6 separate regions of the Mus musculus genome follow, and regions 2, 3, 4, 5 and 6 are each reported to be linked to region 1. The links are microRNA targets in miRTarBase. Many come from high-throughput screens and were not tested one by one. Region 1 holds a microRNA gene; each other region holds the end of a gene's coding sequence. Distances are from middle to middle.

Region 1 (5,073 bases):
CCCACCTGTATGGTAGCAGAGGCCATTCAACACATCAAATCTATACAGCCTTTACTCACAGCGACACTAATAGGCAACAAAATAAAGCTAAATTTGCTAGGAGGGAGTGGCTTCTGGCGCTATTTAAATTTCAATGTAGGGGAGAAGGCTCACGTTCCACTGGACCACCGTCTGTGGGAGCAGCACGCAAGGGCCAAACACGCGATTTCCGCAGATAGTGAAGCCTCTGCTACTGTAGCTGTCGATGTACACGGCCTGAGGGAACTCGCTTTGCAGCAGTGAGATGCGAGTCCGCTGGTATAACTCATCGTCCGCCGGAGAAAGCCGGTGTCCCCGACGCGGGTTCCTCCTGCGGAGGGCTAAAGTCAGGAAGTCGTGGCCCGGCCGGACTATGCGGGATTGAAAGGTCCGAGGCCAAGTGGTCAGAGGCTGGACAGGGGATGCTCACCACAGCCGGTCGACGTGCCGACAGAGCGGCGCAGGTCGCGTTCGGAAAAGGCAGCGAAATCCTAGAGCAGTAGCCATGGCTGCAACGGCGCTTAACGACCCGGTCGTAGGGACAGAGTTGTCTGTCTCAAAGTAGCCACAGCGCCCCTTGCGTCCCGGAGGGCACCGCGCACCTTGAACGGCGCAGTAGGCCAATGCAGAGCCTCTGTCTCCCCATGCGGGTGTGTCAGCACCTGTCGCCCACCCCGCCCCATGCCTCCAGCGACAGTCCCTAAGGAGGAGGGGGAAAAACACCTGCTAGTACGGGCGCCCTAAGGGTATTGTTTAGGCCACTGCCGCGGCCTGTTCCTGGGATTCTCAGCCATTATTCGGGCTCCCAGGGACCAGGGCGGGGCAGCTGCGCACCTGGTCCTGTTATGAACACCTGGCCAGGGTGTGGTGCCAGCCTCCAGGCCCTTAATCCCAGGCTTTGGAGAATCGGGCTCCGGGGGCGGGGCAGATGGCTAAAATTTCCCTAGCTAGTCTCGAAATCGCTGCTTTCCCCAACCGTCACCAGCGCGACCGTTGGCGACGGCGCAGCGCTCCATGAGAGGCGTGGCCGAGCATGGATTGGCTTCCCGGCAGCGCGAGGGGGTGTGGCCAGATGGTTTCTCCTTAAAATGGCTCCAAGTCTGGGGACAGCTAGAGCCAGCGGAAGGGCACGCCGTGGCAGTGCTGGAGTAGCTGTTCGAGTGGGACTGACTGGGCCAAACCGGACCAGACGTGAAGTAGACCGCGCCTGGAGCACCACCCCGCCCTTGCGCGCTCTGCGCGCGCGTACCGAGAGTCTCCCTCCCCCTGTCTTGAGCTGAGTCTAGGGCCTACTGGCGCATGAGTCCTTGGCGTCCCGCGGCATGGGCATCTCTGCGCACCGGTTCTGTCCTGGCCTCAGAGGAACTTTGTCGCGTTCTCTATCCGCTGGACTAGACGGGTGGGATGCTTGACACAAATGGGGCTTGGCTGTGGGGTTCTTTGCAGGGCCGGTTGCAATGGGCTTGGGGGGAGGCTGTCCTGCCGCTGCTATGTGGGCCAGTTTGGCCCCTGGCACTTCATGAGCTGGCACCGTCACCAGACAAAAGGTCCTAAGCTTTGGGGAGTCCCAGAAGTGGACACATGGGTTTACTTCCTCTCGGGTCTCACGGAATCGCTTCCCTCTTGACGGATTCCGAAGCCTGCCCGGTACAAGTGGCTCCTGCTTGGGACTCACAGGGCTAATCCAGCCCTTCTGATCTAATCCGGATCAGGACCTCGTCCCGGGGGATGCCCCCACCTTCTATTGTTCTGGGGCCCAGGTGAGCGTCTCATTCTCACTAGACTGGTTTAAAACACCTACTCCTTCCTACTCAGCCCACTGGGAAGGGATGGGCGGGTTCCGGTTTGGCCTCAGGGCGAGTGACCTGGGAGCAAGAGCCCTCCTCCAATGGCTGGACAGCGGGCAACGGAATCCCAAAAGCAGCTGTTGTCTCCAGAGCATTCCAGCTGCACTTGGATTTCGTTCCCTGCTCTCCTGCCTGAGCAGCGCCCTGGCCCAGATAATGTGGTCTCTATTCTCAGAAACACTACACTACTGGGCCATTCTGATCTCCATCTCTCAGGTGCACCCCCAGACTGATGGTGGCAGTCAGAGGCGACGAAAAAAGCTCGGGCTGATGGCCCTGTCTGGAATCCCTGGAGAACTCTGACCAGGGAGGTCCTGGGTCCTCTCTCTGAAGGGCCGCAATGGCGGTGAGTCCCACAAGGCCGCCCAGCCCGCAGCTCGCTAAAGATAGATCTTCACTTCCTGGGGAAAACCCACCCCAACCGTCTTCATGGAGGGAGAGTAGCTAAAATCACCAACTTGCTGGTGGGTCCCAGCCCTGCTAGCAGCTGAACCCACACCACAGCATGGAAAGTGCTTTGGAATGACACGATCACTCCCGTTGAGTGGGCACCCAAGAAGCCATCGGGAATGTCGTGTCCGCCCAGTGCTCTTTCGGCACCTCCCAAACAGGGCCTCATAGCCCCGGCCTTCCCGAACTTTTCCTATCTCTAGATGTCACTCCTCTCCGGAGCAAAGTTCACCGGTTGGATTCATTCATTACTGGGGGAAGTGGAGTTTCACGTTACTTGGAAACGAAAGAGTTTGGACATAGAAAAGCTCACCTGCAGCTTGCTCTACCTGAGAGCTCTGCTTATTTGGGTCTTCTCATCATCACATTTGTCTTAAACTGACCAGTTGCCTAAAGAACCAAAGGTGCCGGTAACACCAGTTTAAAGGAAAAACATTAAAGGCTGGTAATCCTGGAATCATGATGACTAATTCCTCGGGTATCAAGATGGGCAATTCTATCCGATTGGGCTTTTACTGGGAATAAAGACATTCCATACCGCAGCCGAGGAAAGGCGTACCAATAATCAGAACTCAAATTTTGCTTTGTTTCGTTACTTTTCCAAGTAGGCGGTAAAGAGTCTTTAATGGAAGACACGAGTGGTGGCACACACCTTTAATCCCAGTACTCAGGAGGCAGAGGCAGGTGGATTTCTGAGTTCAAGGACTTTCTGGTCTACAAAGAGTTCCAGGACAGCCATGGCTACACAGTGAAACCCTGTCTTGAAAAACAAAGTGTCATTAATGGTACAGCCTTATTCCTTTGACATTTCGTCTCGTGCGTCTGGCCTTTAATTTGTTTAAATGGGGCAGAAAAAGAAAAAAGAGACATAAACACAAAGATGTGAAACTTTGGTGGCAAAGTGTCTTGCCTGGTAACAAAGATCCGTTATCAAAGTAATAATTCGGGGTGACGATTTTTTTAAAAAGGAGGAAAAATGGACCCTCAAATTTGGAGGTTAGGGCTCATGAATACAGGAAAGGCCATCGGGAGGGAGAGCTGGAGGCGTGGGTAGAATGTAAGCTCACTTGGCATGCTCGATCGCTCTGGTCCATTCAGGAGAGTCCACGGCCGGATCCCCGCCCCCGCCAGGCGGACCTCCCGGAAGCTCTACGGATAACTTACTTCCTGTTCCATTTAGTCTTCCGGTCGCCATGGCGACCGGGCGCCTTGGGGTTGGCGAGACGCTGGAGGCCCTTAATGCAGCTGTAGGGCCTGGTAGCCCAGTGTGGTTTAAGGAAACCCATGCCCGGCACCTTCGTGTTCGAGACTTCTTGGCACCGCGAAGCGCGCTACAGGCGCGCTTCAGGGACGGCCAGGTGGGTGCGCTCCTGTGGGGCATGCCTAGCGGGATCCACGGAACTACGGCCCACTTACACACATCTGCCTGCAGGTGCCAGAGTGCGTGTTCCGTGCGGTCTCCTGCCTGCAGGGTCCCGGAGTGGCCCCTGTACTGCGCTGCGCGCCGACACCCGCGGGTTTATCGCTCCAACTACAGCGGCCCGCTGTCTTCGAACATGTACTCGGTGCCCTGGCCTCCTATGCTACTCCCGCCAAACCTGCCTCACCAGGCCCGCGAGTTGTCCTACACTGCCCAGCACTGCGCTGTAATTCGGGGACGCTCCGATTGAGCCAGCTGCGTGCCGTGCTCGTAGCCGATCATCTAGTACGGGTACTGCGTGCTCATGGGTAAGTGCGTGTTCGAAGCTATAATGGCAAAAGACCGAACATTTGGGGATAGAAAAGGTGGGAGTCATGATAATCTAAGCCTGGTCCGCAGGCTGAGACAGCCTCCCTTGCTTTGCAGGGTACGTGTGTGCTCAGTGCCCCCGGTGCGGGACCCTCACATGTCAACTTTCCTCCAGAAACTTCGGGTGGAATGGCCCACTGCCTCGAAGAGCACCTCGACCGAAACACTGAGAACCTGTGTTCTTGCAAACCTTAATGGTTCTAAGGAAGCGACGCTGCCCCCTGGCGTCCTAGGCCGACTGTGTCTGAAGGAACTGGTAGAACAGAGAGGCACTGCTGGCTATGACCCCAGCATAGACCACTGTTTGGGTAGGACAAACGGCAGAACATGGGTGGGGTTGTGTCTCTGCACTGCCAGGCACTTCAACACCTCTTGTTTTCTGTAGTGACTGAAGATGTGCTCTCTGTGCTCTCGGAGCTGCAGGAGGCTGTGCGCCACTGGCCAGAGGGCGGCCACCCAGGCCCGGTGAGTGGCTGCCTTGACCTCTGCCCAAACTGGATTTTTGTATCTTTGTAGTAACTGCCCCATCTCTCCTCAGGCTGGGCGTCCAGATGCTGGTGTAGATGACTGCGTGGTTATACACGTGGTTAGCTGTGAAGAGGCATTCCAGCAACAAAAGCTGGATTTGCTCTGGCAGAAATTGGATGACCGGGCTCCTCACAAGCAGGTTGGTTACCAAAGTTAACCAAACCACCTCCGACCTCAGGCCTGGAATACCATGGGGTTTAGAGACTGATGTGACCATAGGCACCCGTGCTACAAGTGCAAATGTCCTGTGACTATGTAGTCTTAAGAAAAAGGATGATGGTGTCTTGAGGAGGTACGAAGGAAGGCTGGTGGTTACAGATTGGGAAAACCAAGGTAGAAAAGCAACTGATATAGTTCCCTGAAGCGGGGAGGGTAGTGCCAACTGGGCTGAGCCCTTCCAGTCTTTCACAGAAACACCTGGTGTGTGGTCCCGTGAAAATG
Region 2 (5,073 bases), not on the chromosome of region 1:
CGCACGCCTTTAATCCCAGCACTTGGGAGGCAGAGAGAGGTGGATTTCTGAGTTCGAGGCCAGTCTGGTCTACAAAGTGAGTTCCAGAACAGCCAGGGCTATACAGAGAAACCCTGTCTTGAAAAAACAAAAAATAAAAATAAAATAAAATAAAATAAAATGGGGCCCTCTTCCCAGATGACCCTAGCCTGTGTCCAGCAGTCAGAAAGCTAATCAGCACGTAAGGGTTACCCAACTCAGGTATATTATACCACTGTGTTGGTCCTGTTGATAGTGATGGCTAAGTGCAGGGAGTATAGAGTCGTATATACAATATGAAAACCAAGATGACTGCTAGGTAGAAAGTATACTATGTGGTTACCTAGGTCCCCAGCATTGCCCCAGCTCCTCTCCGTGCTTGTCTCCCAAGCCTGGCCTGACACCTCCTTTTGTCTTCACATAGAGTCCTGTTTCCTGTTCACACTCACACGCCAGAGGCTGCCGCCCTTTTGCCAGCAGGGATACCTGAGAATGCAGGGGCTCTCAAGCACCAAGAGCCTTTGGCAGCATGGTGTGGAAAGCAGGCTCCTGCAGGACTACACGGCCATGGAGAACAGCAATAGGTGGCTTGGTGACCACTCCACAGCTCCAGAGCCTCTGACTCAATCCCTTGACAGCAACAAAGAGGAGCTCTGAGCATCCTCCCCCAGACTATGGTGCCTGGCACCTCTCCAGAAAACCGGGGAAGCCTCTTCTCCCACCAGGACCATCACAGAGATAACAGACAATGGGACTGCCCATAGAGTGCAGAAGGCTGGGTTACAGTCACAGAGTGGTGTCCCTTCCTGTGCTGGCCCCTGGTGCTAGATGCAAGGTCAAGAGGAGGGTACCTTCTGTCAGGTATGAGCTGCCTTCCACATCCAGCTTGTGTCCAACTTGGACCATCACTAAGTAAGCACCATGCTGGCCTTGTGTGCCTGCTTCTAGGACCAGCCAAACGCCTTTTCATTTTCCTTCTGGTTCACTCTGCAGATGGCCTTGGCCCTACCTGGGGAACATCTCAAAGCTGAAGGCCCCTCGTTTCCACAGTGGGCATATGAGAGTCAAGGTTTAGAGTCTTCAGCAGTGGGGCAGACAGTTGGGATCTCTGCTTCCCAGTACAGATATGGACCCCAACTCAGAAGCATCAGATATCTCCTAGTGTCCTTATCCAGGAGGCCTGCCCCTATGCCACCCTTCCTTTTCACACTGTGATGCCTTCCCTGGCAGTCAGGCTGGGTATCACAGGCCCAGAGGGCTTGTATGGGGGCAGAGACAGGAAAGTCCTGCAAGGTCATCTGTCCAACTGAGTTCTCGGGAGCAGGGCACCTCAGTGCTGCCCTGTCCCCAAGATCACACTCCCAGGCATTGGCAGCCTGTGTGTCCCTCTCCCACCCTGCTGCCTGGCACCCTGAGCCATGCCTTCCTGAGGCCTGCCTGGGCAGGTTTAAGGTGATGCTGTGCCTGCCGCCGTGGGCACAGAAATGTTGACGCTTGCCCAGCTCTGGGCTGCCCTGATGCTCCTCTCTTCCTTGCTTTCCCTCCCGAGTCCACGCTCAGCCAACAGATTAGCAAAGAAGCCATGGGGAAAGCATTGCCCGCAAGTACAGCATGGTGATCACGTCATGATTTCCCATAGCCCCAGAGTGCAGGTACTGTTCCTCACCAGCCTCCATCAGTCGTCATGGAGGTCGTCAGACGTCCAGGGACACAACCCAAAGCCCCTTCGTGGGATCATCCTCTCTCCATAGGAGAGTCGTGGCTGGGTCCAAGCTCTCTTAGCCATCTGACCTACCTGCAGCCATCTTCCTTTCTGGCCTACCAGATGCCAACAGGAGAATTCAACACCTTCATGTCACCAGGGGGAACTGTGTACCCCTGTACCTATTTGGGGTAGTTTGCACAGTGCCAAACCTTCTAACTAAGTCATCATCCAAACCCAGGATGTCAGTGTTGCCATATTCCACACAGATTGATTGGCAAGCCAAACTGGGACCCTGCCACCCCACCCTCTTCTCCAAAGCATTTTCAAATGAGTCTTTGATTTAGCACAACAAAATTGAAACCTGCTCCTTACATCTCGCCCTCCAGTCATCGAGGATGGCTGAGCCACTTGTTTGGTGCCTTAGCAAGTAGCTGGCTGACACCCTTGTGTAAGACATCTGCTGCTTCCTGTCATCTGCCAGATCGTTGATTCCATCAAAATATCAGGCAGCCTTATTTGTTTTTAACACAGAGTATTCTGTTCTTGCTCAGTTGACTAGAGATGTCTTCTGCTTCCCCCACCCCATAGGGATTCCGTGTCCTGGCCTGGTACTTATTATATAGCCCAGCCTGCACTTGGACTCACAGTCATTCTCCTGCCTCAGCCTCTCAAGTATTGGGATTACAAGCTTGAACCATAAAACTTTCTTTTTTTAGATTTATTTTTACTTATGTGTACTTGTTTGTGGGTTATGTGTACATGAGTGAAGGTGCCCAGAGACCAGAAGAGGGTGTCAGAGTCCCTTAAAGCTGGAGTTACAGGAGGTTGTAAGCCACCATGTGTGGGGCTGAGAGCTGAGCTCAAATCCTCTGGGAGAGCAGTAAGTGCTGAGCCAATTGCTCCGGAACCCCTTCCCCATAACTGTTTTGAAGAAAAGATTAGAAGTAAGGCAAGCTAGATGTGGCACACACCGGTGTCCTAGCATTAGGGTGGCCAGGGCAGGAGAACTGAGGTTTAAAGCTAGCCTGGGCTACATGGAGAGTCCCAGTATGGGCAACTTAAAAAGATCCTCTCTCAAAGAAACTTTAAAAGGACAAAAATAACTGGGCATGGTGGTATATGCCTTAAATCTTAGCATGCCCAAAGCATGGGGTGGAGAATCTCTTGTGAATTCAAGACCAGCCTGGTTGACTCAGTAAATTTCAGGCCAGCTAGAGTTATATGAGACCTTCTCTCAATCAATCAATCAATCAATCAATCTTCTCTCAATCAGTCAGTCAGTAAGCAGGAATAATTATGGTGAAGAAATGGTTGAAATAAGTGAGAGACACAAAAAGGAGTTATGTAACTTCTCATGATCATCCCTTGAGGGTGTAGGGAAGGGCTGAGGAGTTTTCCCCACAACACTGCATACGATGTGGCACCGGTGAGGGGGCAGCAGCTGCTTGAAGCTGTGATGATAGGAAACCACGGTGGCTCTGCTGGGACTGTGGGACAAGGTTCTTTATTCCTCTTTGGATCAAATTTGTGTTTATTTTTCGAATGTGATTATATGCTACTGAAATAAAAAATACATTTATTTTTAAACAATTTCTGCTCTGGCATTTTGGGATGGCTGGGAAAGAGTAGACATGGGAGTCTTGCAAGAGGCTGTGCTCTACTGTGCTGGTCCTTGTGGTGGCCAGAGTAGAGGCGCCCTAGAAGGAATCACTAAAAGGAAAGGAGCACCCTGCATTATGCATTGGGTGCAAGCGTGCCCAGAGACAGAGTAGGGAGAGACACTTGTAATCCTAGCACTTGGGAGGTAGGGGGTAGAGGCAGGGGGGTCAGAAGTTCAAGATCACGCTGGGATACAAAAGACATCTTTTTTTGTTTTTTGTTTTTGTTTTTGGAGACAGGGTTTCTCTGTGTAGCCCTGGCTGTCCTGGAACTCACTCTGTAGACCAGGCTGTCCTCAAACTCAGAAATCTGCCTGCCTCTGCCTCCCAAGTGCTGGGATTAAAGGCATGCGCCACCACGCCTGGCTAAAAGATATCTTTTTTTTTTTTTTAAGACTTACTTATTTATGTCCTTTATGCACATGAGTACTTCGTCTGCATGACATCTGTGCTCCAGAAAAGGGCATCAGACAGGTGTGAGCTGCCACATGGGTGCTGGCAGTTGAAGTTAGGACCTTTGGAAGAGCAGTGAGTACTCGTAACCACTAAACCATCATCTCTCCAGCTCCTATAAAAGATATCTTTAATCCCAGCCCTTGGAAGGCATAAGGAGGAGCAGGTGAGTTTCTGCAAGTTCAAGGCCAACCTGGTCTATGTAAGGAGTTCTACTCCAACAGCTACATAAGGAGATCCTGCCTTAAAAACAAAAACAATAAAATAGGATGTGAGTGGTTGGAAGGAAGGCTAAGGAAGTGGGTGACTGATGCACTCCTGTGTGGAGTCTGAATTCAGAGACAGCATAGCATAGCCATCCTTGGAAGCATCTTCTCTCAAATGATAGGAAATCAGAGATAAAATTCCTCATGTGGGAGAGACACCCCCACCCTACCCCCCGGGCTGGTCTCCAATGCCTTGGACAGCACCAAATTCCTTCTGTCTGATAAAAGTCCCTGAAGTCTACTTGGAAACCGACTGGCCAATAAGCAAATCTGTGGCCAGGGGATGTGGCTCAGGTGGTAGAATGCTTGCCTAAAACACACAAAGCCCTGGAATCATGGTGGTCCAGCATGGTGGCATACGTCTGTAATCCCAGGACCCTTAGGAGGCAGAACCAGGAGGATCCAAAAGTCAAGGCCAAGCTCTCAACTCTACACTGAACGTAGAAGCTAACCTAGAACACATTATATGATATCTCAAAAAAAAAAAAAAAAAAAAAAAAAAAGCCCATGTCAGCCAAGTATAATGTTACAGGTCTATAATCCCAATTGAAAGGACCAACCTCAGCTATATGTGAGTTTGAAGCCACCCTGAACTGCATGAGACCTACCTCAAACTGCAACAGGGCCCCAGACCTTAGCACAACTGACCTCATTATGGAAGAGCCATTCAGGCTGTAAAACTCAGAAGTCGATAGTAGCATCAGCCAGATGAAGACAAAAACCTAATCGACCAAAGTCCATAGTTATAGGAAAGTCTCTAAATGTACTAGCCTTGCTTTTTAGCTTTGGTAGTTCTGACTTTAGCTAACTGTTCTTGTTAACTCAAGTGTGTCAGCCCAGAACATGGTTTTGGTGCTTAAAAGGTCATCCTGAGAAAGGCTCGGTGCTACATTGGGATCCTGAACACCCATTGTAGTCGGTGGCCAGCTAATAAAGACTTTCCATTGGCTTACACCCATGTCTGAGCAGACTT
Region 3 (5,073 bases), 33 Mb from region 1:
CAGGAGTGTTCCTGCTTCCTCTAAGGCCCAGTGGCATCCTATACACATGTGACCCTAGCATGGTGGCTTCTACCACATGGTACTACAGTGATAGTCCTCTCTGTTCCATGCCTTCCCCAGAAGACAATGACTACTTCTCCTGAATTGCAAAGGCAACACACATTGCCTGCCATACAGTGGCCTAGATTAATCTGTGTTTATTGTGTGGATGGTGGGGTAGCTAGGTGAGTGGATAAGTGAGTGAGTGGGTAAGTGGATTCGTGGGTGGGTGGCTGGGTGGGTGGCTGGGTGGATGTATGAATGGAAGGGTAGATGGTTGGATGGATGGGTGGGTAGATAGGTGAGTGGGTGGGCGGAAGGGTGGTGAGTGAGAGGGTAGATAGATGGATGGATGATGAAATTAATTGGTGAATGAGAGAGTGAGTGAGTGAGTGAATGAGAGTCAAGAAAGGAAAAACAGGAACTGATTTAACCATTATATCTTCTTCCAGGTCGCCTGCTTTTTGCTGGGTACAATGACTATACCATCAATGTCTGGGATGTTCTCAAGGGCTCCCGGGTCTCCATCCTGTTTGGACATGAAAACCGCGTCAGCACTCTGCGAGTGTCTCCTGATGGGACAGCATTCTGCTCGGGATCATGGGATCACACCCTAAGAGTAAGAAGGGTGTTCCATTTTCCTGTGTGAACAGAGAGGACGGGTGGTGGCCTTCCTGAGCAATCTCTGCCCCTGTCCAGAGATACAGGTGACAAGTGGTTGTCTCTGGGAGGTTGGGAGCCTCGTGCACACAGGTGTTCAACATGGTGGTGAGAAAATAGGCTGAAGCCCTGTTCAGTGGAGTGTGTGAGCGTGAATGCATATGTGTATGTATATGTGTGTACACTCTAACTTCATATCTTTAAACATTAAACTCAACTCTTAAACTATTAACTATTAAAAAGTACCTATCTGTGTCTTCTCAGGTTTGGGCATAATCTTCTGACAGCGTTCAAGAATGTGTGTCCTCTCGTGTAGATATGACTTCTCCATGAGCCCAGGGCTTCCCACAGGTTAGCTTATGGGAGCAACCTCACAGCTCGGCACTCACTCACCCCGTCCAGTGTCTCCATGAAATCTGCCCCCTCCCTGGAAACACTCGGATAGGCCGTGGCACTTCAACTGGACCTTCAAGCCCTTCTGTCATCTCAAAAACTCTGCTAAGTTCTGTCTGTTTTTGAAATTATTCCAGCCAATGGAATTTCACATTTATCAGCATTTAAAATGTCCCTCGTTGTTTCCTTGGATCTAGTCTGTCTTCAGAGCACTTTAAACTGTACCTTTTCTTGGCGTGGACTGTGGCTTCTAGAACCATCCTTGGGATGTGCCGGTTATGTGGACTGTAAGAAAGAATGTTCACTGGTCTGTAATAGAAGGAAATTCTATTTCCAGATGTAACTACACAGAACCACTTTTTAAAACTGTTTTTAGGTAAAATTATCTTTTTTCAACCTGTTCAGTTGTCTTTTTTAAGATAATGTTTGGTTTTGTTTTGGGGGATGAGGGTCTGGGGGAGTCTTTAGAAATGAAACGGACACATGCAGAAAACAGAAAAAAAAAACTGTATAATTCACTTGTGATCGATGGCAGTCTAGGCTGAGCATCCCCGACACTTGAGGGCAAAACAGGTTGCCATTCCTAGCACAAATACTGCAGAGAGCAAACAGAACCTTCTGGCATGGGAAGACAGGCCACTAAACTGATTTAAAAGCCTGCTAGTAGTGTTATCAGAAATGCCTAAGATAAACTGTGTGTTGTCCCTATAAATTATATTCGAATGTCCTGCACAGCAGTTGTACTGACACAGACTGGTGGGCAGGCCATGAATAATAATAATGTCTTTGTTATCCAAGGGGTATCTTGTCTTTATTTGAATCATAAATTCCTTCTAGATGCGACTGGCTCCTGTGTATTACAAGGTCCCTGCTTTTTCTTCCTTTTGTTCTTTTAAAGGTGTAGAGGTTTGTTCTTTTAGAAACTCTTCGTGTAATGAGATGCCATGTTAATAGAAATGGTGGCACATACTTTTAAGTTCAGGTACAGAGAAGCAGAGGCCAAAGGATAGCTTGAAGCCAAGAGATCAAGTTCAGCCTCAGCCACATAGTGAGGCCTCATCTTCTCAATGTTTTTGTTTTGCTCTGGTATTTATTTATTTATTCATCTATTTGATTTTTTTTTTTTAATTCTCTGTGTGTGGTCGTGAATACACAGGCCACAGAGCCCACGTGGAGGTCAGAGTATAAACAGTGGAAGTCAGGAAGTCAGATGGAACTCAGGTTGTCAGGCCCAGTTGGTAGCAAGCATCCTTACCCACTGAGCAGTCTCCCTCCCTGCCTCTTGTTATGTTTATAATGAAACAAGGTATCATGGCTGCCTCAAACCTTCTACATTGTCAAGTATGCTTGGGAACTTTCTATCCCTCTGCCTTGGCCTCTCAGATGTTGATCGGCCAGCGTGCCCTGCACACTAGATGCACTAAGACTGTAGGTGCTGCTAGAGATCAGATCCAGGCCTTCCCTCAGGATTCACGCTCTACCAACTGAAATATAGCCCCAGCTCCAAGACCTCATCTTTTAAAAGAATGCTTAATTCTGTTTTGTTTAAGTGTACTGGGAACCAAAGGACACCTCAGACACTGCTAAAAAAACTGGCATTGTGGATGGCCTTGGGTGTCTGACCAGCCAAAGATTTGTTGACCCTGAAAAGAAGGGGGTATGTGTGTCTCTAGATTGTCTGTCTTGTCTTATCCTACTCTGCCTGGCTCTTTGCTTAGTGCTGGCTTTGTAGCCCCAGCCCCATGCTCCTTACAGAGACCCTCAGAATACAGAACAACATTCTTCCAGTCAGCAGAATGGCACTGTCCCCACTTCAGCAGTCTCTGCGGAACTCAGAGTGACAAAAAGCCACATATATTTTTGTCATGTCATTAATATTATGTAAATATCCCTCAGGAGCCCTGAAAGCGTCTCAGGGACTCAGAAGGGTTCTGGATTATACTTCCACACTCTAAAGAGCTCTCTTTGCTGCCCCTCAGGCCCCCAGGAAGACTCTCCTGGATTAAAGCAGAACTCTAGAGAGTGTGGGCTTAAAGAAGGGACCAGGACAACTGGGCAGAGTTGGCCTCTGGGAGAAGGCCTCTGAGGAAACTTGGGGTAACATCAGCATCACAGAATGCCAAAAAGGAGCCCCGAGAGGGCCCACAAAGGCTAGAGCCCAGCAGGCCTGCTCAGTAGAGCAGTGGTTCTCAACCTATGGGTCTCAACCCCTGTGGGAGCCATATATTAGATATCCTACATATTACATATTAGATATTACATTATGCTTCATAACAGTAGCAAAATTACAGTTTTGAAGTAGCAACTATCATTTTATAGTTGGGGTCACCACAACCTGAAGATAGCCGCATTGGGAAAGTTGAGAACCACTGTACTAGAAATGTATCAATGGAGAACAGACAGGCTCTAGGAGGCATTGCTGGTAGGTCAGAAATAGGCAAGAGTCAGGGGTTGGGGCCACCTTGCCTCCTCCAGCCTGGGACAACCACTTGCAAAATGATGGGTATATCCTTAATTCCCAAACAAGTAGGCCAATTGCAATCGCTACCAGCTGGGCCTGATGACTCAAGTCTGTAATCCCAGCAACTCCGGAGGCTGAGGCAGGAGAATGACCTATTCACTCCCTAGAAAGTTCCAGCCCCCATCTATTTAAACCTCAACAATAATCCGAGGGTCTCCCGCTGCTCCTGCTTGCCCCACCCCATGACGCTCTCCTTGTACCAGGTGCAAGTGATATTCCCAAATGTCCAGGTGGGTCAGAGTGGGAAGTAGCTGAGCCTAGAAAGCCTACTGAGGTTGGACCGGGTGCAGGAGCCAAAGGATGGCCGACTCGCAGGACCCACTGCATGAACGCACTAGACGGCTGCTGTCTGACTACATATTCTTCTGCGCACGGGAGCCGGACACCCCAGAGCCACCGCCCACGTCTGTCGAGGCGGCCTTGCTTCGCTCTGTGACTAGGCAGATCCAGCAGGAGCACCAAGAATTTTTTTCCTCCTTCTGCGAAAGCCGGGGCAATCGCCTGGAGCTGGTGAAACAGATGGCAGATAAGTTGCTCTCCAAAGACCAAGACTTCAGCTGGAGCCAACTGGTGATGCTCCTGGCCTTCGCGGGGACGCTTATGAATCAAGGCCCTTACATGGCTGTCAAGCAGAAGAGGGATCTGGGGAATCGTGTCATAGTGACCCGAGACTGCTGTCTCATAGTGAACTTTCTGTATAATCTGCTCATGGGGCGTCGGCACCGCGCCAGGCTGGAGGCTCTCGGCGGCTGGGTGAGACCACTGGAGGAGGGTGACGGAGATGGCTTGGGAGACGGGGCACAGGAGGATGTGTTGAGTGCCTTTACCGCAGGGTCTTATGTAGCCAGCCTAGGCTGGCCTCAAACCTCACCAGATACTACCCTGCCACTATGGTCCTCCTGCTTCTATCCCATGAGCACCAGGATTACAGGCTATGTCATTATGGTGGGTTTTTGTGGTGCTAGAAGGGGAAGCCAGGGCTTTGAGCATACTGGGCAAGAACTAAGTGAGCCACATCTCCAGCCCAGGGATTTCTTTTTTTTTTTTTTTTTTTTTTTTTTTTTTTCAGGGATTTCTTTATAGGCTGCTCTTACTCAATAGCTTTTATAAAACTTCATTCAGGGGCAGTCAGGCACACTTGGCTTACCCTAACTCTTAGCCCAGGACTGTCAGGGAGGGTTGATTAAGTCTAATAGGCCCAAGTGGTATAAAGGGAGCAGTAACCATGCCCAGACTTACCCTTATTAGAGTAAGGCCTTAGGGATTGTGAAATGTGTGGGGCCACCAAGTGAGGAGCCTGACTGGGATCTTTTAGGCCACTGTACTTTTCCCTGCTGGGCAACCTCCAGGCTCATGGCTTTCGGTTGGTCCTTAATCTCGGTGGTGTAGGCTAACGAGGCAGTCCTTAGCCTCCCTCCAGCTGCATGGAGCTATTGATCAAGGAAAACACACAGGATGAG
Region 4 (5,073 bases), not on the chromosome of region 1:
CACTCTGTCTGCCAACTTTCCACCATGAGAAGTGCCTGTTCCTTAGTGGAGTAAGACCTCACACACCCAAGGCAGAAATAGCCAGGCAGAGCAAGGATTTGGTGAGCTCTGTTGCTACAGAGCTCTGGGGGTTTGGAGGGAACAGCTACAAGACCTTCCAAGTTCTTCCTAGTTCTCATAGGTGAAAACTACTATGCTGTAGTACTTTTCATCTGGTGAATTAGCAATGGTTTTTGCTTCTGAAATTAGACCAATTTGTGGTTGAAAATGAACAATCTGAAGTTTCCCCTAGTGTTCCCCAAAGTGTGTAGTCTCAATGGGGAAATGCAAACATGTTCCAAAACATTAGCTTTTCTTTGTTTCTGATTACTTGGAGACTGCCTCTGTGTGAGTGGATTACTCTGCTCTGGGACACGCACCATTGTTGTTGTCATCATTTGTCTCTCACTGTCATCTGATTAATATTGTGGCTTCTCTTTTCCTCTTTCTGCATCTTCTTTGACGTACTCTGGAAGAAACGTCAAGAAGAGGAGATTCGATCCCACTCAGCAAGGCCCCATCTGAATCGTCTGCACTGGAGGAATGCCACCTTGCACTGTTGGGTTCTGGGAATGACATGTTTTCAGCCATGCTGCCGGAACTCTTAAGTCTGTAAAGAAGACCCTTGGGTGGTAATGACTACAGAGCCTCAGATCTGAGAATTGGGATGGGGTACAAGACAAAGGTCCCTTTTGGAAATAACTTCAAGTAACCCCCCCCCCATCACCTGTCAATAACGGGGAGGGGTTAAAGACCATGTCATTAAAAAAAACAACAACAACTTCAGAATCCTTTTTTTTCTTTTTAACTAAAGGAGAAGGGAGTAGCAACAAGTGCAATAAAAGAACAAATAGCAAATGACCCTGCCCCCCAGCCTGCTGGCACTTAATATTTTCTAAATGATTTGGCATGATTTTTTTTCCTTTTACTATCAAGGACAAACTCCAGTGGCATGAAGATCCAATTTTGGAAAGGGTAAAAACTGCATGGCATATATAACAACAAGCTAGCAAGCCAACCTTCAGCAAATCCTACAGTGGAAATCCCGAGGGGAAGATGACAGATGACCACACAAACGCTACCTGGGTCTGGATTAATGCCTTTCCATCCTCCACCACCCCCCCTCCACCTCTGCCCTGGCCAACCCTTTCCCTACGTGCCCCTGGCCCACTCTAAACACGCCCATGGCAGCACTCATCTGGACTGTGTTCTTGTTGATCCGCTGTACCCATCATTTCTCTCCTGGACCAAGCATCCTCTGGCAATGGGAGCTGGAACTTGAGCAATGCTATTGTACAGTTCTTTTCTAAGTGTAGATATGGAAACAAGATTTCAATATGCCATTTTGCTTGTCTGTATGGAAATGTTTTCCGTGCGAAGATTCTGTCTATACTTGAGTTTGTTGCTTGCTCCACATCTTATTTTTCTTTCTTTTCTGTCATTTTCTTTCCTCCTTTGTCTCTGTCCTCTCTTTTAACATGTCCACCAATTGTTGAGCTTGCTTAACAAGACAGAAGTAGCCACAGATGCAGGGAGTTTGGGCACAAATCTAGTATGTTTGAAACCAAATATTAAAAGGGGGGGGGGGACACAGAAAATAACCCATAACAAGAACACAAAAGATTATGTAAATGTGAGTGTATATGTACTGATGGACCTAACACTTTTGATGTCATCATAAGCACATGTATATACTGTAGGAAAACAGACCCTTCTCAAATTAATCACAAAAGTGCCAAGCTCATTGTTTTAGTTTCTGGTTTCGACAGCTCTCTTTCCCTGTCGTAAATGTGAAAGGAGGAGAAACTTAAAGCCTTAAATAAAAAAATTAATAACTTTCAAATGCTGGAAGCTTGGAAAAAGTTAAGCTTTCCATTCTGTTCATATTCAAATGTATTTTTTTTATATGTATAAATTTCATTTATACTTCATCTAACTGCCTCGGGAAGTAGCCTGTGTGACAGAGCCCCAGTGTGGCGAGGCAGCACAGCTGGTCATTTCTGCTCATTTCAGGTTGTCATTCTGAATGGTGATTCCAGGAACTCACCCTGCTCAGTGTTTTGCTGAGACTCTGGGTTGCGATGGGATTCCACTGTGTATGAATCCACACCCTTCTTTTTCCTCCAGGTAGCTGGGGAGATCCCAGGACTGTCTGAGTTTCCCTCATCTTCCCCCATTCCTTCTTTAAGTATTGCCAGGAGAGCTTCCAATGCAATCCTAAGGGAACAGGCTACTGAGGAAATTCTCTCAGGTTTGTTTCGGACATGCAGGTGTACAGTGAACACCCATCAAGAACTCAGACCCGCCAGAGAGCCCCTACTTCTCCACTGGCCCATTTTTACCAAGAAGACATCCAGATAAACTATGCATTTCTTCCCGGCACTGAGTTACTTTTTACATTTAGCTCTAAGGCCCTCTCCAGCAAGACTCATGTCTTAAGTTTTACAACATATTCCTTGACTAGAAGGGAGGAGGATTTCCTAAAAATAGACTGCATGAAACTGGACTTTCCCTCCTCCCCCAAAGATATCTTTAAGTGTTGGCTTTTCACCCTCACAGAGCAGAAACCTTGATTGCTATATACTACCCCAAACCATAACAACATCTTAACCTTCGGATGGCTTTCTGAGAAACAGGTGCTATGCAGGTATGCAGTCTTTCGCTTGAATTTGCTGTTTGTTTATATAGTAATAACAGCGCTATCTATAAGGCTTACTGGCCTTATTCCTGGTTCCATAAGACACAGGCTGTACCCCTTTACTGAATGGCATGGGCTCAGCTTGGAGGAAGGTCAGAGGAAATTCAGATAACTTGGTATCTCTTCCTGTCGTTGCAATGTTTCGGGGTCCACTTCACTATGAGATACCAAGCAGCTGCCAACCTCACCATACTCATTTCGTTACAATTTCTGAGGCACCGTGGTGACTTGATCCGACATACGACCACGTCAGTTACAAACCAGATCTTTATGGTTAACTTTTGAACATTTCACAAACAACATTGTAAATGTGCGATGTTATGTTTTAAATCAGACCACAGTGGTCCCCAAATATTATGTACATATGACAAATGTCAGTGTAACTTTTTGTTACACTGACAGTTTCATAGGTAAACAAACCTACGCTCCAATGTTAAATTATGCTTGTGTATGTAAAATACACAAGCATTGGGCTATGTGTGTACGGACATGAGGGTAGTGCAATCGTACTGTACGAAATGGGTCAGAATCATTTTCAGTGGTGTTAGGTTATGTAGTTTCAGACTCCATGCTGCATTTTCTCTTGCACATGCCATCCATTTGCTTATTTTGGAGTGTGAGTATTCCTTCTTATTAATTTGAATTCAAAGCACAAGCCTCCCATTGTTCAACATTACCCAACAAGAGTGTCCAGTGATGACCGAGTTATCTCACCTGCTATACTTTTACTGCAATAATTAATGACACCTGGATGAGGAGGCGTGCGCTGACTTCATTGTTCACCCGGGATAGTGCATGAGCCCACTGAATTAGAGCTGCTTCTACCAGCAAAGTGAGCAGTACACATAGGTGCATGTTTGAAACATGAATCACATAGAGCTATGGAGTTTTGCCAAGTGATGTGTTTTCTTTTTCTTTTTTCTTTTTTTTTCTTTTTCTTCTTTTTTTTCCTTTTCTTCTTCTTCTTCTTTTTTTTTTTTTTTTTTTACTATGCAAAGATGGGAAATGCACAAACTTCCAAGACATGTCTGAAGAACTTTACAATACTTGAATTTTTTCTTTAATCATCCCATCACATTTATGGTCATTGATGCTTCCATTGTTATTTTTCTTTTGTTCCCTTCAACTTCAATGGTTTGTAAATTTTCAATGCACAACCTGAACTTTTGTTTGAAGTTAACTTCCAATCCTATTGGCTGCCTGTGAACGGAGATTCTGTCATCCTTACACGCATCTTTTAGTTGACTGTGCATTAAAAGTTTTATTAATGTAGGATGTTGTAGTTTTGTGCTCTGATTGGTTTTTCTTAACTCTTGTTTCTGTGTTTTCTTGCATTATTGGTTAAGTGGCTATGTGCCTGTTATTGTCTGGGTTTTGGCAGTCACAATCAAAGGTTCACTACAAATTGAAGCAGCCAATGGAGCAAAATAAACTCTCTGGTTAATGGTAAACATGTTCTGGATTAGGGCTCAGTTTTATTAGAGTCATTGGGAGTTCTTTGCCCCATATGAAACAGAAAGCCAAACACAAAACAAACAGGACAAGCATCATACCACTGTTGATTTTATTTTGAGTTTTTAGTGTTTGTCCCTGAGTTTAAAGAGTGGCTGGTTAGCAGTAACATCCATACTTTGACTTGGTACCAAATTAACAATGAAAGTGTGTGCTTGCACACATGAGGAAGGAGAAGGAGAGAGGAGATGAAAGGAGGAGGAGACAGCAGCATCATCTGGTTATGTACATTACATCAAAAGCATTTAAAGTAAGGGACCCTGGTAGCTCATATAAAATTAACCAACCATTTATATTCCTCATGGTGAAACATCTTTACTATCTCTTCCCTGCACCCTACGGCCATGCCTCAGTTATCGGTGAGACACAGCACAGACAGACACACATAGGTGCTGTCTACACTGCTGTCATCACGAAAGTCTTGCAGCCTTCTTCATTTCCTGCAGGGAACTTTCCAGACTCGGTAATGAACCTGTGAGCTGCTGAGCTCATGACCTCACCGGCTTGATCGTCAAGTCTAACTGTCTCTCATCTTGCCTTAGTCATCTTAAAGTTCCCCTAAAGGAGCCTGTGCTACCAAGTCTGAATAATCTCCTCAAATTTTACATCCATTTTTCTGTAATTCTTTTGTTACTGTGTAATTTCATGTAATAAAGGAAATGCAGAAACACTTAAATAGCACAAATAGCATACTTAAGAAAGTAAGCACACGGTGCCATTTATAGTTGACTTTAAAGGAATGATCTCAAGCAATCTTTCTTTTCAAGACAAGGCTTCTTCTCTGTCTAGCCCTGGCTGTCCTGGATGGAAGTAGCGCTGTAGAC
Region 5 (5,073 bases), not on the chromosome of region 1:
CTCAGAAATCCGCCTGCCTTCTGCCTCCCAAGTGCTGGGATTAAAGGAGTGCACCGCCACTGCATGGCCTATAGAACATTCTTATTTTAGGTTATCTGATGTTTCTTTGTGATTCAAGTTCTGCATTATGGCCATATCATCATACATGCAGTGTTCTGGCCACCCCACTAAAAGGCACCCAAAGACCATCTGACCCTGATGTTAAAATTCTATTGCCTAGCCAAGCTCAATAGTTCTTGATCTGAATTCTGTCTTCCACAATTATACTCCACTCAAACTCTGCAAGCAAGAGCCCCTGTCTTCCCTGATACATTTCTATACTCATTATTGATGTAGACTATTTCTACTAACCTTATTTTATAGTTTGCTATGGGACATTTGGCACTACTATTCTATGTGTCTAAGAAGTGCCCTTCCTGCCGGCACCACTGTTATTGTGTCCCCGTCATTTTTTCTTTGGGGGTTATTTTTTAATTACTCCTTATTTTCTAACATAGAAAGATGTTTTCTAGTTCATTTTAAACTGCTCCCTAGATACCTAGCTACATTTGAGCATAGGAAAGTCCATGACGCGGTGAGCACAGTGTGTATGCCAGCCCCTGTTAGCCTATCTGTCTGGCAGTTCTTAAGCAAGCCAGTTGAGGCCTTCTACCTATCTCTTCTTCACGATCCCTAATCTTCTCTGCAGCTTGGTCCAGGCCAACCCAGAAGTCGCCATGGACTCCATCGTCCACATGACCCAGCACATCTCACCCACCCAGCGAGCAGAAGTTGTAAGGATCCTCTCCACTATGGATTCCCCTTCCACGTAGGAGGAGCTTCCCGCCCACCCCTGCCCTGTCTCTGGAGAAGAGAGTCGGGCTGCCTCTCCCATCTGAGACCACTGTAATGAGAAGGCACCGGAGGCCTGAGACTGGATCAGTGGCATTTGCTTCCCTTGAGTGTTTCAGGCTCTGCATGACATCCTGGGCTATAGGATCACACAGCCCAGTCACACATACCCGATTCAGTATTTATTAGCCCAGCTATGATGACAGTCCTCTTCCCATGCACAGGACTGAGAAGGCAATGAAAGGTACTTGCCTGTACCATGAGGTCTTACTAGACTAAAGCAGGACTGCCCTCCGTCCTGCCTGCCCCAGCATAGGGTCGTGTGAACAGTGTCCAAGTGTCTGCAGCCCCTGCCCCATGAGCCACAGCCAACAGGGGAGGGCTGGGGCTGCCAGGAGACGCAAGTCCATCGATCACTACCCCACATTGCAACCAAGCACATGCCAGGCACTGGAGAGAGACAGTCCCATCTAACCACAGCAAGATAACTGAGAAATGTCAGAGCAGAAAATCTGTCGCAAGCCCGTGAGAACACAGAGATAAAGGCAAAGCCATGATCTAACAGGCAGGCTCAAAACCAGATCATGTCATTGTTCCTGGTCAAACACACTCAACCACCTCAGTGGCGTCTCAGTATCCCTGGGGAGACGGTCACCCTGCCACCACCTTATCACTATGTAATCACATAGTGACTATACCTAGGAGCTAAAGGCCTGTGCATAAGGGCCCTAGCCTCTGCGGGTGGATGGAGACAGGCAGGCAGTGCAGGAGCCTGAGGTGGCTAAGAGGAGGCTCTTTTCTGTTGGTGATAGGGGAAGAGTACTTCAAAACAGGAGAAGTCTCTTCTGGGGACAGGTTGTCACTATGGGGCCATGCCTATTCCTGGCAGAAGGTATGGCGGGTCACCCACCTGATGACACCTGTGCTTTCAGCACCAGAAACTGGCCTTCTTGATGTTAGGAGGCTTCCAGGGAACAAGAATTCACCTGCCCTTAAGATACCTTACAGTTCAGTCTCGGTGCTGGTGTTTCCAGACTTCTGGGCCCTATGTGGCCAGCAACACGGCTTCCTCAGGGGTGGCCTGAAAAGTTTAACTACCCATTTGTCCAAGAAAGCAGCTGATGGTTCAGCATTTGTGTTCATAAAGCAAGAATGAAGATGATCATAACTCGTATAACATCCAGTTTCAACTTTATGACTAATACATCTGTCGCTGAAGATCGAGAAGGAAAAAGATACCTGCCACAGAAACCATTCAAGTGAGTACTTCAGTCTGAGCCTTAACCTGGATTCCACGAAAAGAGCTGACCTCCCCTTCAGGAGCACCTCAAGCAGATATTCCAGAGGACCTTCTCAATGGTGCCACATTGCAAGTGGACATCCAAGGGACTATAGATGCAAGTTGCCCCACCCCCACAAGCCCTGGTGGAAGGAACAGGAGGGCCAGAGCTGGATCAGGTGGGGAGCATCCTTAGTCCAGAAGGAAGCTCCCTGGCCCCTGGTTCCCTGCTTACCTGGTAGGTAAGGATGGGATTTATCTCTGGCCTCCACTTTTGCTACAGCACGTCCAATCCCACACCCCCGGTGGTATGAAAGCTGCTTTCCTGGAGAGGTGGAGTGGGCTGGGCTTGTATAAGTCCCTTTTCCCTGCTGCCCCATCCCCGGGACCGGGCCGTCTCAATACGGAGAAGTCAGAGCCACGGCACATGGGCAGTGTGATGGTACCACAGCCCATTACACATGCAGGGTTACTGAGGAGGAGGGTGAATGATGTATTGACCCAGACTGGCTTGAACTGAGATTGCCATATTATCTGTCCACTTGTTCACAAAGCAGCCTTCACACGTGTCAGTGAGAGTTCGATGGACACACACGCCAGCGAGCAGGGGCTTCAGTCCAATGCACTCTTCTCACGTTTTGTTGAAATAAACCTCCACATTTGTAGAAGAGCCACCGTTTGTCATTTCAACTCATGCCCGCAGCCACCCATTATCTGGTCCCACTTTCAGCAGAACTACAGGGGCCAGAGAAGGGACAAACCCCTCCTTGGCTCTACAGTGCCAGCTAGCCTTTGTCTCCTGAAATTGCTAAGAATGAACAGGGTAAGAGCAGGACAGCTTTGTCCAGTGCTGGCCTTGGCCTGCCCTATGTTCTGACACTACCAGTATTCCAGATCCTTCCAGCTAAATACAAGTTCTCTAGGGGTGTTTTCCCATAGAGTGTTCTACTATAGAATTTTTACTGCCAAGATCCAGGTGGGAGTCCTGACAAGTCACTCCCCCAAAGGAGAATTAGTTTAGGGTAGGGACAAGAAAGACCTTAGGAAGAAGGAATTCAGCCTGTTTGTGGGTACCAGCTCCAGAGTCCCAGCCCAGAGAAAAGCCACCCAAAAATCTTTGAAACCCTGAACCGTGCTCCCTGCCAGTACACAGGACTCCACTGTCCTCAGCATTATGAGTTCTGGGACCACCCCATCCTTGAGGATGTTTTTTAGGCTTTCTGGGTTCTAAAGTCTGAGCACTTAGAGCACTAGGGGGCAGGAAAGTCATGATTATGTGTCCTTGACTCTCCCTCCCCCACTTCCTCAGAACAAGCTCTGTGCCCCACCCCCATCCCCAGGAACGGAGGCAGCAAAGCAGGGTAGTAGGGGGTCTTGGATTATTAAGTTCGGTTTTGTTTTGGGGGAATTGTTTCTAAGCAGGGGGTAATCCTTTTTATGAATAACATATTAAGATATATTAGCTCCCTTAAGTCAGTGTTCTAGAAAGAGGAGCAAGAAGAGAAGCTTGAGCCGGGCTTTGGGGCCCATGCTTATAATCTAGCGTTCAAGGGGTTGAGGATTGTGAGATCTAGGCCACCCTGGTCTATAGATGAGCCTGTGTCAAAGCAAGAAGTAGAGGGATACAGAATCCTCATGAGAACTGCTTCCCTGCCTGCAGCTGCACCCTTTGAACAGGGATCTGCGTCAGCACAGAAACCTGCTCTGCAGCTGAGGGGCCAGGGTATGGGCTTTCAGCAGACCCGGAGCTTAGCTAGCACCACTCTGTGCTGCTAAGATAGGCTCTCACTGCCTGCAGTCCCCCTGGGGAGGCCCAAATGAGCATGAGTACACAGACAACTAAGACTGGAAGCCTCTTGTCAGAACGAAGTGTTGGTGTCTGCAGTTATTAATGGCCACTGGGACACCACTGGTATCAGACCAGAAGCCAGCTGCTCCTGATATCTGAATGTGTGGGAAGGTTTAGACTAGGGCCTGCACAAAAAGAAAAGGAAAAAAAGGAGCACTGTCCTGGGTACCACAAAATCTGAGTCCAAGCTCACCTCCCGTGTGTATGTGTGGTCCCTGGGCAGGGACTGAAAATAATACTAGACCGACAGCTATTTTCTATACTCCAAGAAGGCATCTAAGCTGTCTTTGTGTCTACTGGGGAGTTTCTCTGATCCTGGACATAACTGGCTGCCTTGTGGCTGAAAACCCGTACTGGTATTAGGACAGCTTCATAAACTCAGTACTCTAGTAAGCTGTGTCTCTCGAAAGAAGGTGCCCTGCAGTTGGTGAGAAAGTAGAATAATGGCGCCCCCACCCCAGGAAGATAGGAAGCCAGAGCAGGCTCCACTGGGTAGTGGACAGGCTAGATCTTAGTCAGTGGGGCTGAATGACTCGATTACTCTAGAGGAAGCAGGGAGGTTGCTAGAGATGAGGAGAGACTGAAACCACACAAAAAGCTCAGGCTTGGAACTAGGAAAAGGCTAACAGCATTCTGCCTGGACTTTCTGGCTCTTTGATAGTCATTTCACAGAAAGAACTGTGGCACACACCTCTTAGGTGTGTTACACCTTTAATCCCAGCAATCTGGAGGCAGAACAAGAAGTTCACAGGAATTCCAAGCCAGGCTAGGGCCATAGCAAGACCCTGCCCCAAAACTGGACCAGGTGAGTCTCCCAAGCTGGGCTCTTCATTTCCATCCCTGGGAAAGCTTCCGACACCTTGCCTGCACAGTGTGGATTGTAACAGCTTTCCCAGAGTCTAGATACCACGAATCCATTGCCGGATATTACTAGCAAGTTCTCAGAGCAGTTGTTTTTCTTATTTTGTGTGTGAGTGAAGGTTCAAGGGTGCCACAGTGTCTGTGTGTGTGTGTGTGTGTGTGTGTGTGTATGTGTGTGTGTGTGTGTGTGTGTGTGTGTGTGTAGATGAGAAGACACCGTGGGTTCAGGGGATCATCAAATATAGGGCATTAA
Region 6 (5,073 bases), not on the chromosome of region 1:
TGCCACATCACCTCAAACACAGCTTCACTGATGTTTGTGCACTTGAGACGGAAGTGGTAGTGACAGTCGATGGCAGTGATATCGAAGGTAGGGGTGGCTCCCTCTTGGAACTGGTGAGCGCTTAGCACTTGGCATACCAAAGGGCATTTGCTATTCTTAGCATTGAACACTGGGACTGAATTCAGGCTAAGAATAAGCAAGTTCGCGTCTGTGAAAACTGCAGTTTGATGTTCTGGGAAGTGGGCTGTGATTGTGCCCATGCTGTTTGGGGTCTGACACACAACGGAAAGGGGTCATGGGATCGCTCAACCTAGATTTAACCCAAGTTTCTCTAGCAGAGCCCATGGGCACCTCTTCATGCACCTTGGCTTCAAGCTTTCAGTTGTTCAGTGATGCCAATGACCACCGCCTAAAGCATGCTAAAACAGCAGACCCAGTGCTGGCTCCCTGCTTCCTCCCTGAGCCGCTGGCTAGCGAGACAGCAGAGCCTTCAGCAGACAGACCCTCTTTTGCCACTGACTATTTCTGTATCTAATTTTGTCTCTAAGCTTCAGGGCAGTGACTGTATGCAATGGTTTAAATCTGTCCCTCCCAAAAGTATGTGTTAGAAACTTGATCCCTATCACAACACTATTGAAAGTGAGGCTTAGTGGGAGATTTTCAGGCCATGAGGACTCTAGCCTCATGGACAGATTAATGCTGAATATAAACGGGCTTGCTGCTTGAGGTGGAGTCTTTGCTCTCTTACACCCCCTCTTTGCCTCCCTAGAAGGTGTCACTACCTTGATACTGAACTCCTAGCAACCAGGCCTGTGAGAAAGAAGATTCATTTCTATTCATAGCGCTCTGTGTATATGCTCTTGTACCAACACAAAGTGGACAGAAATACTCCTTATTTAAATTCTCACCATACCAGGCTCTCAGCATCATGTCAGGACTACACCCTCCTGTCAGGGAAGCAGCATGGTGTGAAGTCCTGGCATCATGTCAGGACTGCAGGATAATGTTTTATTTCAGAGTCTCAGAATAATGGGAGGAGCTTAGTCATATGTCAGGACTTCAATCTCTTACCATGTTCTCCCCAACCCCCCCCCCCCCCAGCGTCTAACCAGCTTTTGAGTGTCATGTCAAGGTCTCAACACGTCAGGAAGTCAGGGACTCAGCCTTCAAGCCTTCAGGATCACATCAGCACCCAGCCCTTAGCATCATGGCAAGCATCATGGCAGAATCACACCAGGCATTCAGTAAGGTCAGGACCTCAGGACCACTTCATGCCCTCCACATCACGAGGGACCTCAGTTCATGTTAGAATCTTGGGTTCATGTCATATCCTCCAAACCATGTCAGGACGTCTGTGATATCATGTCAAACCTGAGTATCGTGACAGGGCCTTGGCATTATGTGAGACCTTAGCAATATATCAGGCAATCTGAATCAGGCCAGGACCTCATAATTATGCCATTATCTCTGCATCATGTGAGGTCCTAAGCATCACAAGATGTCCTCACTAGGATGGGACCTCAGCAACATTTCTGGATGTGAGCACATTGTCAGATCCTTAGCAACAAGTCCTGACCTCAGCATCTGCATTATCACATGAGTTCCTGAGCATTATGGAATGAAACCAACATTATTCATTCCCTCTGCATCTGCTATTTCTTCAGTATCATGTAACATCTCATGTCACCTCACGAACATCTCATGTCATGTCAGTACCAGATTCATCTATCAGAACCACAGGATTCATCTATCACCACCAGAACCTCAGCATTGTGTCTGTCACTCGGATTACATTAGGTCCTCAGCCTCATGTAATGCCCTCAGAAAAATAGCACGAGTCTAATGTCATGTCAGAGCCTATTTAGCATACCATGCCCTAAGTGTCATGGCAGGGGGGTCAGCATCAGAGGAGGTCTTCAGCCTTGTGTCCAGACCTTGACATCTTGTCAGTACCTGCATCATGAATGGATCTCCAGTATCATGTTATGTCTTCTCTGTCATGTCTGGACCTCTGTGTCATGTTAGACATTCAATATTGTCATGTTTAGAGCTCAGCGCCATGTCAGGACCTTGTTTTAATATCCTACGAGGACTTCAGAATAGCGCTGTGACTTCAGCATCATGTTGGGACCTCAATGTCACATGCCACTCAGCATCAAGGCAGGCCTGCAAGCAGCATTTTAGAAACTGAATATCATATGCAGGTGCTCAGCACCAGCTGAGAACCACAATATGTGATCAGGTAGTAAAATACAGGGTCACCATGGTGGTCCCTTAACCGGCATGTCAGTGCCTTGCTATGATGTCAGGACCATGACGCAGGGCCAGCATTATGTAAGGCCCTTAGTTAGCATCCTGTCTGTCAGACCTTCTGCACCATGAGGATCTCAGCATCTTATCAAATGCTCAGCATCATGTAATGCCCACGGTATTATGTCAGGCCTTCTGAATCAATCATAACAGCAGCAGCATATCATAACCTCAGCATTGCAGGCCTCTTGGTATAACATACTTCATGTCATATCATGATACTTCATATATCATATCATAGGGTCCTTCGGCATCCTATTAGCTCCTTAGTGGCATATCTTGACCTCTTTACCACATGAGGCTCTGGTGTCACGTGACATTCTCAGGATCATGAGTAGTCCTTAAGATTTTGTAGGGCTTCAGGATCTTGCCCAGGGCTCCGCATCGTGCCAGGACTTTAGCAGTGTATCAGGCTATACTTACTTTAAGATAGAGACCCCCCCCCACACACACTATCCCAGTTTCTCCTCCCACGTCATAGGGCACTCTGCTCCTGGACTTACCAATCCCACCTCCTGTGCCCCTAGCATTCCCATGAGGTTCACTGAGCAGAAGGTCAAGCCGTCAAGGACAGATGGACAGACAGTCAGGACACTCAGACACATCTATGTTTATTTTTTTTTCCTGTCAGAAAATTTCAAGAATTACACCAAAAAATACTTCAGCCTCTGCTACCTACTGACAAAAATACACCACAAAATTATAAAGCGCTCTGTGGTTTTGCTAGGGAAGATTTGTTGATCCGTTTCAGATGACAAATGAATTTACAGGTGACTCAAGGTGATGGGAAGATGGGGGGAGGGAGGAGAAATCAGATGAGAGTATCTGGCAGGATGGTTTGAGATATACTATTCCTATTACCCAGCTGCTGTGTACAATAATTTCAGCAATATAGCAAGCCACAAAAAAATACCCTTAAACGGCCTATGCAGACCAAATGGGCAATTCCCCTGGCCAGTTCTCATTCTCTTGGACCTGGGGCCAGCACCTCCAAGAAAAGGGATTTCCTGGAATGCTCGCGAGAAGCAGGAGGCCCTTGCTAAAGTGCCAGTGAGAAGCCTAAGGATGTTGGCCACACCTCCCTGTCAGGTGCTTCTAGAACCTAGCTGGGAAGTCTGGACAACTCTGTCAACACAACACAGTGAGCAAACAGTCACCTTCTCCAGCTTCTTTTAGGAATGAGCACTGCCTGCCCAATCTTCAAGTTTCTTCCCGGCTGTCAGATTTCAACTAACTAGAATTCAATTGTCATTCCTGCTGTCATTAGCGCTTTGGGGAAAAAGCAAAACCCGGGTGAAACCGGGTGCCTATGCTTTTAGCTGGGTCCAGAGCGGCCCGCCTGACCTCTCTTCCTTTCTCTCCCTTCCCACCCCTGCCATCTTGAAAACACGGGCAGCATCTAGGGATACACCTAGAAAAACAAAAGAAAGACAACATCTATCCACGCCTGTGTTTGCTGAGGCACAACAGCCGCCCTGTGAGCATCGGAGCCTAGGTCCCCATGGGCTGCCCAGGGCTGAGCGTGGATGCCTCCCCCATGAGTTTGTGCAAATCTTGCAAGCTCACCATTGAGTGGTACTCTGTGCATTCCTAGTTGAGAAATGCCAACATCACCTTCCTCTCCAAATCAGCCTTGCCTGCCATCGCTGTGCTTCTCTCCTGCAGACCACAGGCAAACTGAACAGCCCACCCTTCGCCACGCAGTACTCGGACGCCCACACAGAAGCCATGGGGCCTTATCTAAGAAGTCCCAGACAGACTCTGCTCTTTACTGCCCTGCTGTGTCTTCCACGTGGAGCCCGTTTCATGCTTTTTAAATTCATTTTATCCGGCTCCCCTTTCTGTCTCTAAATTATCCTAACAAAGAATAAGCGGCGGCTTTGAAAATATCTTACATGGGAACAATCAACGCGAAACATGCCTTTGTACACGAGCCTGACTTGGGTACGAAGCAACAATACAAAAGAACAAAAGGAAAGATCGATTCAGACAACTCCAGTGCACAATATTTTTGGGGAGTGCTCCCCAGACCCCATCCTGCCCCGCCCCCACCCCGTACCCTAGCAGTACAGTATTGTCTTGTAGCTCCAGCCTTGCTTAACTAGTGGGGAGGGGGGTTTCCCTCTCCACCCACCCACCCCCATCCCAGCTGGGGCAGACCTCTAATGGCCCTGCGTCTTGGGTGGCTTGGGCTCATGGATGACAGCAGCTGCTGACAGCCATGGCCCGATGGCCCGGGCAGTGCTCTGCTTGGCCACACTGTAGTGGCTGATGACTGTGTAGAAGCGGCTCCTGGAGCTGGGGTCCTGGGACGAGTAGTAAGCATCCAGCGAGGCCGGGATACAGCGCTTGTGCTGGGGAAGAAAGAGATAAGAGTCAGGAGTAGCCGGGTGGGCTGCTGGCACCCACGGGGACGCTGATGGCCTGTGCAGGGACTTCAGTTCCATCAAGTACCCCACAGGGGACTCTTCTCCTGCACCTGGCCACAGTAGACCTTCCCCAAGATTATACCATCACCATCTTCAGAGGAGAGGAAATATACCTACTGTTGGTACTGAGGTAAGACCAGACACATAGGCTTGATGGCCATACGACACTGCTCTTGGTAGCATGACATCAGGTCCCCAGTGGCTGTCTGGGCCATTGTCCACAGATAATGACAATTTCATGTCCTTTGTTTTATATATGTATTTGTTTTTTTTAGTAAAGTTATTGGTTCCTAACATTAATATGTATTTCCTTATGTATTTATCTGCATTATCA

Evidence for each region. The annotated mature microRNA mmu-miR-425-5p reads AAUGACACGAUCACUCCCGUUGA and lies in region 1 at 2,387-2,409, shown strand. An mRNA with a match to its seed (bases 2 to 7 or 8) in the 3' UTR can be bound and repressed. Matches are read on the target gene's strand: a 7mer-m8 pairs with bases 2 to 8, a 7mer-A1 pairs with bases 2 to 7 and ends in A, and an 8mer does both.
Region 2: the mRNA of Foxred2 is a reported target of mmu-miR-425-5p. The part of its 3' UTR that is shown has no 7-base or 8-base seed match.
Region 3: miRTarBase lists Gnb5 as a target of mmu-miR-425-5p. The part of its 3' UTR that is shown has no 7-base or 8-base seed match.
Region 4: miRTarBase lists Adam23 as a target of mmu-miR-425-5p. The part of its 3' UTR that is shown has no 7-base or 8-base seed match.
Region 5: miRTarBase lists Acaca as a target of mmu-miR-425-5p. The part of its 3' UTR that is shown has no 7-base or 8-base seed match.
Region 6: miRTarBase lists Nsg2 as a target of mmu-miR-425-5p. The part of its 3' UTR that is shown has no 7-base or 8-base seed match.

What each region holds. Positions count from the first base shown.
Region 1 is chr9:108,566,403-108,571,475 of GRCm38, forward strand. It overlaps Mir425 (microRNA 425), which reads left to right and starts at 2,375; the gene lies at 2,375-2,459. Ndufaf3 (NADH:ubiquinone oxidoreductase complex assembly factor 3) reads right to left here and starts at 1,034. Exons shown (of 5, transcript NM_023247.2): 1 at 449-1,034; 2 at 154-349; 3 at 1-5. The coding sequence starts at 525. It overlaps Dalrd3 (DALR anticodon binding domain containing 3), which reads left to right and starts at 3,490. Exons shown (of 12, transcript NM_026378.3): 1 at 3,490-3,673; 2 at 3,748-4,043; 3 at 4,162-4,412; 4 at 4,490-4,569; 5 at 4,643-4,771; 6 at 5,044-5,073. The coding sequence starts at 3,509. Mir191 (microRNA 191) reads left to right here and starts at 1,917; the gene lies at 1,917-1,990.
Region 2 is chr15:77,938,762-77,943,834 of GRCm38, reverse strand. Foxred2 (FAD-dependent oxidoreductase domain containing 2) reads left to right here. Exons shown (of 9, transcript NM_001017983.2): 9 at 443-3,313. The coding sequence ends at 675. Among named protein-coding and RNA genes, the nearest start is that of Txn2, 12 kb to the right of the region's middle.
Region 3 is chr9:75,343,990-75,349,062 of GRCm38, forward strand. Gnb5 (guanine nucleotide binding protein (G protein), beta 5) reads left to right here. Exons shown (of 13, transcript NM_010313.2): 12 at 492-658; 13 at 964-1,934. The coding sequence ends at 975. Bcl2l10 (Bcl2-like 10) reads left to right here and starts at 3,769. Exons shown (of 2, transcript NM_013479.2): 1 at 3,769-4,366. The coding sequence starts at 3,914.
Region 4 is chr1:63,592,093-63,597,165 of GRCm38, forward strand. It overlaps Adam23 (a disintegrin and metallopeptidase domain 23), which reads left to right. Exons shown (of 26, transcript NM_011780.3): 26 at 516-4,009. The coding sequence ends at 564. Among named protein-coding and RNA genes, the nearest start is that of Gm22281, 19 kb to the left of the region's middle.
Region 5 is chr11:84,398,872-84,403,944 of GRCm38, forward strand. Acaca (acetyl-Coenzyme A carboxylase alpha) reads left to right here. Exons shown (of 54, transcript NM_133360.2): 54 at 689-2,780. The coding sequence ends at 812. Among named protein-coding and RNA genes, the nearest start is that of Aatf, 110 kb to the right of the region's middle.
Region 6 is chr11:32,057,034-32,062,106 of GRCm38, reverse strand. Nsg2 (neuron specific gene family member 2) reads right to left here. Exons shown (of 5, transcript NM_008741.4): 5 at 2,896-4,664. The coding sequence ends at 4,473. Among named protein-coding and RNA genes, the nearest start is that of Gm12108, 42 kb to the left of the region's middle.